Nothobranchius furzeri: one gene and its partner. The protein of the gene in region 1 interacts with the protein of each later gene in a pairwise test. Links are inferred from orthologs where the notes say so. Each region holds a gene or a part of one and is shown on either strand. Other genes may lie near its edges. The genes, in order: vimentin and crmp1.

Region 1 (4,388 bases):
ATCAAAAATGTGTTGAATTAATGCATTTAAAAAATTAAACTATTCTAAAAAACACATCAATGACTCCATTTTCCAATTTTTTTATTCAGTAAAGGGTCTCATTCAAACCACATAATTAAAAAGGTCCTTAAGCCCATTTATAAGCTAAATTTATGTTTATTGTGAAATTTCCTTCTAGTTTCTCTGAATGAAATTAAAAATTCCAACAGTGATGGAATGTTTAGTCATTATTTCATTCCTCCACTTAATTAAGCACGAAGCTTTTGTTTTGGAAGACAGAACCCATAATGAAACAAACCTGTTGTTGTGCCAGTGCACAGCTTCATCGGGGCGTTGGCAGGCCGTTGATTGAGGTATCAGCAACAGAAGCTGCTTTGCCCATGTGTTAATGCCACAAACAATGTGGACCATTCAGCAGGGGTTCCAAAACATGCCCAAAGGCTGGAAGAGTGACTGTCTGCCTGACTGAGCAGGAGCCGGCTGCTGGCCAAACATTGTTGTCTGTTTGCCACGGAGGCAGACCACTCATGCAATTCCTTCCTGCCATACAACAACCTGATTTAAGCCCAAATCTGCACCGAAAAAACATAAAATCAACAAAATGTGTATTTATGTGTTTAAGTTATTCACCAAAGTGATGTTTTTGACCTATTTGTGTACAGTAACCGCCATATAACTCTATTCACATGACCTATCAACTGGAAAACCAGTGACAGGGAACAGAACCATAACAAGAGAAATTCTTATGTGAACGAGACAGCCGGATCACGCGGTGGCCCGTCTTCTCGCTCTGATAACCACATCAGACCAGTCAGACTCCAATCGAGCAGAGCAAACTTGGCCTTTTGTACCAGCCAGGCCAGGGCACTCTTTAACTGTTCGGAATCATGTCTGGAACCTGCTGTTGTGTCATCAGAGCGGTGCATTCCTGCCTCTGTGGCTCATGAGCCAAAACTAGACAGATTACCTAAAAGAGAAAAGGGATGCACTCCACTGCACAGTTGGAGGTTTGCGTCATCGATTTGGGGATTTTGGGTCAAAGTTATGAGAAGCTGGGGGCAGTTGGTTCACAACTCTGTAGCCAGATTTCTGACAGGGAAGTCGGCACACATCACTCCTGTGCTGGCCTCATTACATTGGCTCCCTGTAGATTTTCGGGCAAAGTTTAAAGTTCTCTGCTATATCTTCTGGTCTTTTTATGGTGATGCTCCACCATATTTGGCAGAACTAATAAAAAGACACCCCATCACAAATTCTACGCTACTGACTGTCCCTGTCATGTTCTGCCCCTGCCTTCCTGACTGTGTCTTTCTCCTGCCCTGATTAGTCCTTATTGTTCTCACCTGTCCCTCATTACTCTGCTCTTCCTGATTTCCCTGTGTATTTATATCTCCCTCCTTGTACCAGTCTTCGTCGGATCATTGTATGTGCATGTGCTCGTTTTGTCCTGTCGCTCCCGTTTACTATTAAATCCATTTTTATTTCATCTGTGCCTGCTCTCCTGCCTCCTGAACTCTCCACCACACATTGTCTGCCATCTCCTCCCTCACATGACAGTCCCAAATACTAGGTACAGATCTAGAGGAGTTCGGGCTTTCTTGGTCTTGGTTCCTTCTTTTGGAATGAGCTTCCATTTGATATTAAACCATCATTACAGGATTTTAAGAGTCATTTGAAGACTAATTTGTATCCTTTGGCTTTTATGTGACTTGGTTTAATGCTTTTATGCTGCTTTTACACTTCATGTTTTAAGTGTATTATATGCTCAGCGTATTGGCCTCCTGCAAAGGCAGTTGCTATATAAATAAAGATTGATTGATTGATTGATTGATTGATTGATTGATTGATTGATTGATTGATTGATTGATTGATTGATTGATTGATTAATTGATTGATTGATTGATTGATTAAAGCTGAGCAATTTTGCAACAAAACAGAAACATTTTTTAGCTAGCTGAAGTCATCATTCTATCTCATACCTGTCTAAAACTTTGCATGTTTGCCTCTGCCTCTTCCCTCTGGGAGATTTCATCCTGCAGCCTGCAGGAGGGGAGAACACAGAGAAAGCTGTTATTTTATATTTAGCATAAGCAGGAGCTTTCTTCCATGCTTCTTCTTTTCAGTTTTGTCTTCTTTGATTTTACTTCTTACTCATCTGAACAGCTGCAGAAATGAATAATAACAATAAGGAAATCATGGCCACATGTGCCACGCCTACTTCTCTCTCAGCCTCTCTATGTCATCCGCCAGATTGTCCCGGTGGACCTCCACCCGGGCCTTCTCGTTGGTGAGCTGGTCCACCTGACGCCGCAGCTCCCGCATCTCGTCCTCGTAGAGATCCCCGACCCGGGACGTGCCTTTGCCCCGCAGCTGCTCCAGCTCCGCCAGCAGGATCTTGTTCTGCTGCTCCAAGAAGCGCACCTTCTCGATGTAGTTGGCGAAGCGGTCGTTGAGCGACTGCATCTGCGCCTTCTCGTTGGTGCGGTTCGTCATGAACTCGCTGTTGATGGCGTCGGACAGGGAGAAGTCCAGGTTCTCGGAGGCCAGCCGTGGCATGGCCGCGCTGCTCCGGAGCCTCTGCGTCTTCATTGCGTAAACGGTGGTCGGAGCGGAGGAGAGCCCGTAGGAGACCCGAGAGGAGCGCAGCGGGCTGGAGAACTGGCGGCTGGAGTAGCTGGTCCGGGCCGTGGCTCGGTCCCCTCCGAACATCTTTTTGTAGGAAGAATGAGGAGCTGGTCTGTAGGACATCTTACTGGGTTCTGTTGAGAGTGTCCACCTCACCTCTGCAGCATCAGCGGTGCCCTAGAAAGGCGTTTCCCTCTCCAGAACTTATTTATAGCCCCCTCCTCCTGCAAAAAGCGCCAAGTAGAACTTGACTGACACCCCCAGACTCCAATCCTAGATCAGAACACACACTTGGCTTTCTGAGGCCAGATGCCTTCTAAGGTGCACAACAAAACTGAGAAAGGTCACAAAGCTCTTTTGGATGGAAAAAAAATCTCCCTTTTTCTCAATTACTTGATATATGAAGTGGTGAGTCTAAGCTTCTAAATAAAATCTATTAAAGTTAACAGGCGTTTTGTGGGTGAGGTTAACATTTCAATACATTTAAATAAAGTTTTGAAAAATACCTTATAAGTGGAAAATAACTCAATAAAGGGACATATTATTACTTTTTAACTTATAGTTATAATAGATCTGTGGTCAATACAAAACAGGTTTATAATGTTCTCTCACAAGGAGTGATTACTATTATTCTTTACATTTTCAGTACCTTCCAGAATGAGCCATTTGAGAGCTCTGTCACTTTAAACCTGCAATAACAAATCTCTAAAACAAACTAGAATTTAAACACAAACATGGTCACGGAGTGCTCACCCCTCCCTTGGCTATCATCCCCAAGCCAAGTCCCTTGATACCAGAACCCACATTGCCACAGTAAACAAGAGACCGCTAAAAATCAGTCGCATTTTCTATATCCAAAAATCTTTTGTTTTCCATTGTAACGTCCAGAAATGGTCAGTTTTTCATCCACAGTTTGACCTCTTCAGTATCCAGTCAGATGGAGACATGAGTCTACATCTAGTGTCTTTAATCTGCTGAATTCTGCTATTTTATCAGCTGAAGTTCAGGCCTCTGCAGCTTTGAACACATGGATAACATATTGTAAACAAAACTGTTCCCGTTTCAAGGCCTTAAGCTTTCTCTTATCGCTTCTACAGGATTCCTCCTGCCTCTGAATAAAAGTGAACACTTTCAGCTCATATGAGTTAATTAATCACATAATGAAATAAACAATGTGGTTAAATGAAATGTTTTGTTTAATCTGTGCTTAGATTAATAAGGATGAAATGAAATATATGACCCATATATTTAATCAACGTACGTGACTTGACAAGCACACACTCATACATATGACTAAAGTAATCTCATGACACATTGCTTTCTGATCCACAAATCAGAGCTACTGTATCTGAGGGAGGTGTGTATCTGAGGTTGGTTGGTAAAACCCCTTTACATGTCAAATTCTGGTTGGCCATGTAATCATAATATGGCAATTGTTAAAACAGAATCACTTGCTGAGTAATTCAATTAGTTTTGAGCCGAACTCCGGACTGGCCACCAGAGGAAAACTCTTTAACCACCGCATCTCTTGACAAGCTGTCACACCTGTTGCACGCTGCAGCTGACACAGCACACGGTTCCTGCAGAACAACGCTGACAGTTCCGACTCCTTAAGAGTCCAACCGTTCTAGACGCAAACGAGTCCCCCTGTTTTTCACGACCCGGAGGCATCCTAGGACTGACTTGGTCGCATCGAAGTTTTCCTACGAGCCATGTGCAGTGGGATCAATGACTCTTTGACATCTCAGATCCAAACAGGGTCT
Region 2 (3,819 bases), on another chromosome or scaffold:
TGAGGTTTTAGCCTTAACTCGGCAGAATCGAGCTTTAAACATGTGCAAGTCATGAAATCTGGCCCCTCGTTCAGCGGGAGTTGAGGAGGGGAGGTCATAACAGATGTGTTGTCCTTCGCTGCAGAGGTCAAACTACCTTCAAACGTCCACTTTCACTTTTCCTCCGTTTGTCCTTTTCACTGATCAGATTTTTATTCTGCATCACACTAGTAGTGATGGGAATTCCGGCTCTTTTTAGAGAGCCGGTTCTTTCGGCTCCCAAGTGGCTCCTCAGATTTTCTGTTGCGTAGAGTACATTTATAACCAAAATAATGCTAGAAATCTCCACTTTCCGACTGCTGGCGCTCATTTTCTCACCGTCTTCGTCGCACTCTCCTCCCTTTCGCTCGCCTTTTTCCTCCTCCTCATTCCCTCTCGTCTCCCTCCTCCCACGTGTGCTCTGCTGTGTGTCTGAGTCTGATCCTCCCTCTTCCCCGCCCCTACTGCTCTGTGTGTGGACAGTCTGGACACGCAGTTACACATGTTGACCAATCGCCTGTAGCTTTCACCAAGGCAGGGGGGGAGGGGGGAGGGGAGGGGACGGCTCCCGTCGTTCACTTCAAAGAGCCGGCTCTTAGAGGCGGTTCGTTCACGACCGACACATCACTACACACTAGCTGCTGTGTGTGGTATGAATATAATGTATGTATAAAAGTAAACAGATCCCTGCTGGTGTCTCCTATCCTGTCACTTAGGTAATTTCCTCATAACTATGTATGTTCTGGGGTTAAAGTTCAATTAAGCGCTGTGGGTTGTGTTCACAAAGAATTCATCTAAAAATGTGATTTATGTTTTAAATGCTTCTACTGTACCGTGTAAGAAGTTGTTTTTTTGTACGTTGTTATGAAACATGAAGAAACCTCGAGCGTTACCAGGCCAGCAGCGTGTGAAGGTGATCCAGGGTTGTGGGATCAGGACTCAGAGGTGGAGAGGTCACATAAGCTGCTGCCTTGGCCCAGTTTTTGCTCCAATAGTGAGAGCCGTCCGTGGCCAGGCTAGCTGTGATTGGCTCCCCAAAAACCACAGAGCCTGTGTGGAGGGACAGTTGGACAGATTCTGATGAAAATAACTGAGAAATAAGAGCGATGAAGTTAAGTGGAAGAAGAGGTCAGGGTTCACCTTTCCTCCGGGCCTGAGCGATGGTGTCGGCTGCACTCTTGCTCATCACCTTCGTGATGTAGACAGGACAGTTGACACGGTTTCCGAGAGTGATGGCACGGAAAACCGCTTCAGCCTCCAGCTGTGTGAAAAAAGGAATAAAACAAGAAGGTCATTAAAAATAAAATTGTATTTTTATGATATTAAGCTGCAGAGGGGAGTGTGATTAAAGTCACCTCTTCAGGGTGACTCAGAGGGTGCCCTTCAGGGCCTGTGATTCCCATTCCGAGGATTTTTCTCTGCTCCTAAAACAAACATTTTAGAATTAATCTACAGTCATTTTCAGCATCGTACAGCATGATGTAGTGCAGTGGTTTTCAGTTTCTGACCCACAAAATGACAATGTGACCCTAAGTCCTGCCCTATAATTTTCAATTCAATTCAATTCAAGTTTATTTATGTAGCGCCAAATCACGACAAGAGTCATCTCAAGGCACTTCACATAATAAACATTCTAATTCAGGTCAGTTCATTAAGCCAATCAGAAATAATGTTTCCTATATAAGGAACCCAGCAAATTGCATCAAGTCACTGACTAGTGTCAGTGACTATACAGCAATCCTCATACTAAGCAAGCATGTAGCGACAGTGGAGAGGAAAACTCCCTTTTAACAGGAAGAAACCTCCAGAGAATCCTGGCTCAGTATAAGCAGCCATCCTCCACGACTCACTGGGGATCGAGAAGACAGAGCAGACACACACACACACACACGCACGCACGCACACACACACACACACACACACACACACACACACACACACACACACACACACACACACGCACGCACACACACACACACACACACACACACACACACACACACACACACACACACACACACACAAACAAAAAACGGAAGTACTCTAATTTTTTGTTCTTTTTTAGCTTTTACAACAGTGGTGCTGAACAGGGTTTACTTTAAACTCTGGAGATCCTCGGATAACCTCGATATTATCGAGGTAATGAGTCCTGACCCCAGCTTTAGGAACCACTGTAGATGTGTGATTTGTTCAAGGCAAACAGAAAATCTCACATTGTGTCAGTCAAGAAAGATTGTACTTGTGACATGTTTCTGCCCAGTGAGCACCGTCTCCACTGGATAACCGGGCTTTTCCATCTCCATCTCCCTACTTCACCACTAACTCATTATTAGTCATCAGTGTTCAGATCATTATTAATTATCCTGATTTATTCTCACACTCATCTATATTTTTGACATATTAATATCCTTTAATCTCAACAGTCTTTGCCATGACCAGATCTGACACTTGTTGTCGCCGCTGCCTCTGTCCTCACCATTCTCCATCTTAATCACCATCACATCATCATCATCATTAATAAAACAGGTGCACGGTTATGTGCTCTGGGTCTGCGGCAGCAACATTAATCTTCAGTCGGTCTATTTGAGAGATGGCGAGTTGTGTAATGAGAAGATTTCTCAGCTGCTGTGCAGCTTGAGGAGAGATTTAAAGCTTACCTTTGCTACCAGGTCTCCGTTTTCAGCGTGAACCAACACCACGGCACCCAGCTCCTTCAGGAAAGAGAGAGCCGCGTACAGCTGCAACGGTAGAAGAAGATGTAGCGTTAGAGGACCACAGAGTGGATGATTCATGGGGAAAACAGTGATGTGAGGGAGATTTTTATACTAGTGCCAACCTCAGAGTCTGTCATCTGATAAAGGTCATTGTAGGCCATGAACACTTGGAAGGAGTTGACACCTGAAAATGGGAAAATGATGATAGGGTGCCGTCAGAGGCAAGACTCACTGAGACAGTTTAAATGGAAGGTAATGTCTAGTGCATGTCTGTCACTGACGCTTGAGCCAAGTTGCACAGCCCAGCCCAGCTGCAGAAAAAGGCCTCACAAGCAGCAGCTTGGTCTGGTAATTTTCTTCGTTTTGTTTACTTTACTTTAAAAAAGATTACATGCAAATGTTGTGCTCTGCTGCCGCAGCAGCATTATGGTGACAATAGATGTCCTCTGAGTCATGACTGTAAGAGGATTCAGCACTAAAGTGTCTAAATCTCTCACTTGTGTTCCCTAGATAGGTCTCCAACGCACATTTCTGAAATGTTACAGCACTAAAAACAAAAAGATACGTACCTTTATCCTGCACCAGCATTTCCAGCTCATCTTTAACGGTTTCATTCCACTTGGGGATGTCTACATGAAGAGAGTAGTCACAGCAAGCCTTTTTATCTGCAGCCTCCTGCCAGCGCTCAAACGCCTCCAGCAGGCTGCCCTCTGGCTGAGGGGTCACATGATCAACTGAAAGGTCCAAAAAAAGAGAAACGACTCAGCCACGTTTTGGAACCGTGGTGTGCATGATTGCTGCATCTGGAATGAGCTGCAGATGCTTCAGGTGTTTTCACTCACTGATCATGGTGGTGCCTCCAGCAAGAGCTGCCTTGGTGCCCTGCAGGAAGTCGTCAACAGGCTGCGTGTCGAGATACGGCTTCATCAGGCATGTGTTAACGTCGATCCCCCCGGGAATTATCATGCGGCCGTTGGCCTCGATCACCTTGACACCAGCTGGAGCAACCAGGTTCTCCCCCACCTGCCTGGTGGGGAAACATGCAGTGAGAAGAAAGAGCTGAAAGTGAGGCCTGATCTTGACATAA

Evidence for each region.
Region 2: the proteins of vimentin (region 1) and crmp1 interact in binary tests that used the Homo sapiens proteins (3 or more experiments, as listed by UniProt). The link is inferred for Nothobranchius furzeri from reciprocal best matches to the Homo sapiens genes VIM and CRMP1.

The regions. Positions count from the first base shown.
Region 1 is NC_091751.1:47,676,812-47,681,199, reverse strand, and holds the start of vimentin, read right to left. Parts: upstream 2,897-4,388; 5' UTR 2,749-2,896; coding exon 2,219-2,748; intron 2,041-2,218; coding exon 1,980-2,040; intron 1-1,979. UniProt on the Homo sapiens protein: Vimentins are class-III intermediate filaments found in various non-epithelial cells, especially mesenchymal cells. Vimentin is attached to the nucleus, endoplasmic reticulum, and mitochondria, either laterally or terminally.
Region 2 is NC_091747.1:78,393,294-78,397,112, forward strand, and holds part of crmp1 (dihydropyrimidinase-related protein 1), read right to left. Parts: intron 3,760-3,819; coding exon 3,575-3,759; intron 3,467-3,574; coding exon 3,302-3,466; intron 2,917-3,301; coding exon 2,855-2,916; intron 2,757-2,854; coding exon 2,676-2,756; intron 1,443-2,675; coding exon 1,374-1,442; intron 1,280-1,373; coding exon 1,159-1,279; intron 1,069-1,158; coding exon 912-1,068; intron 1-911.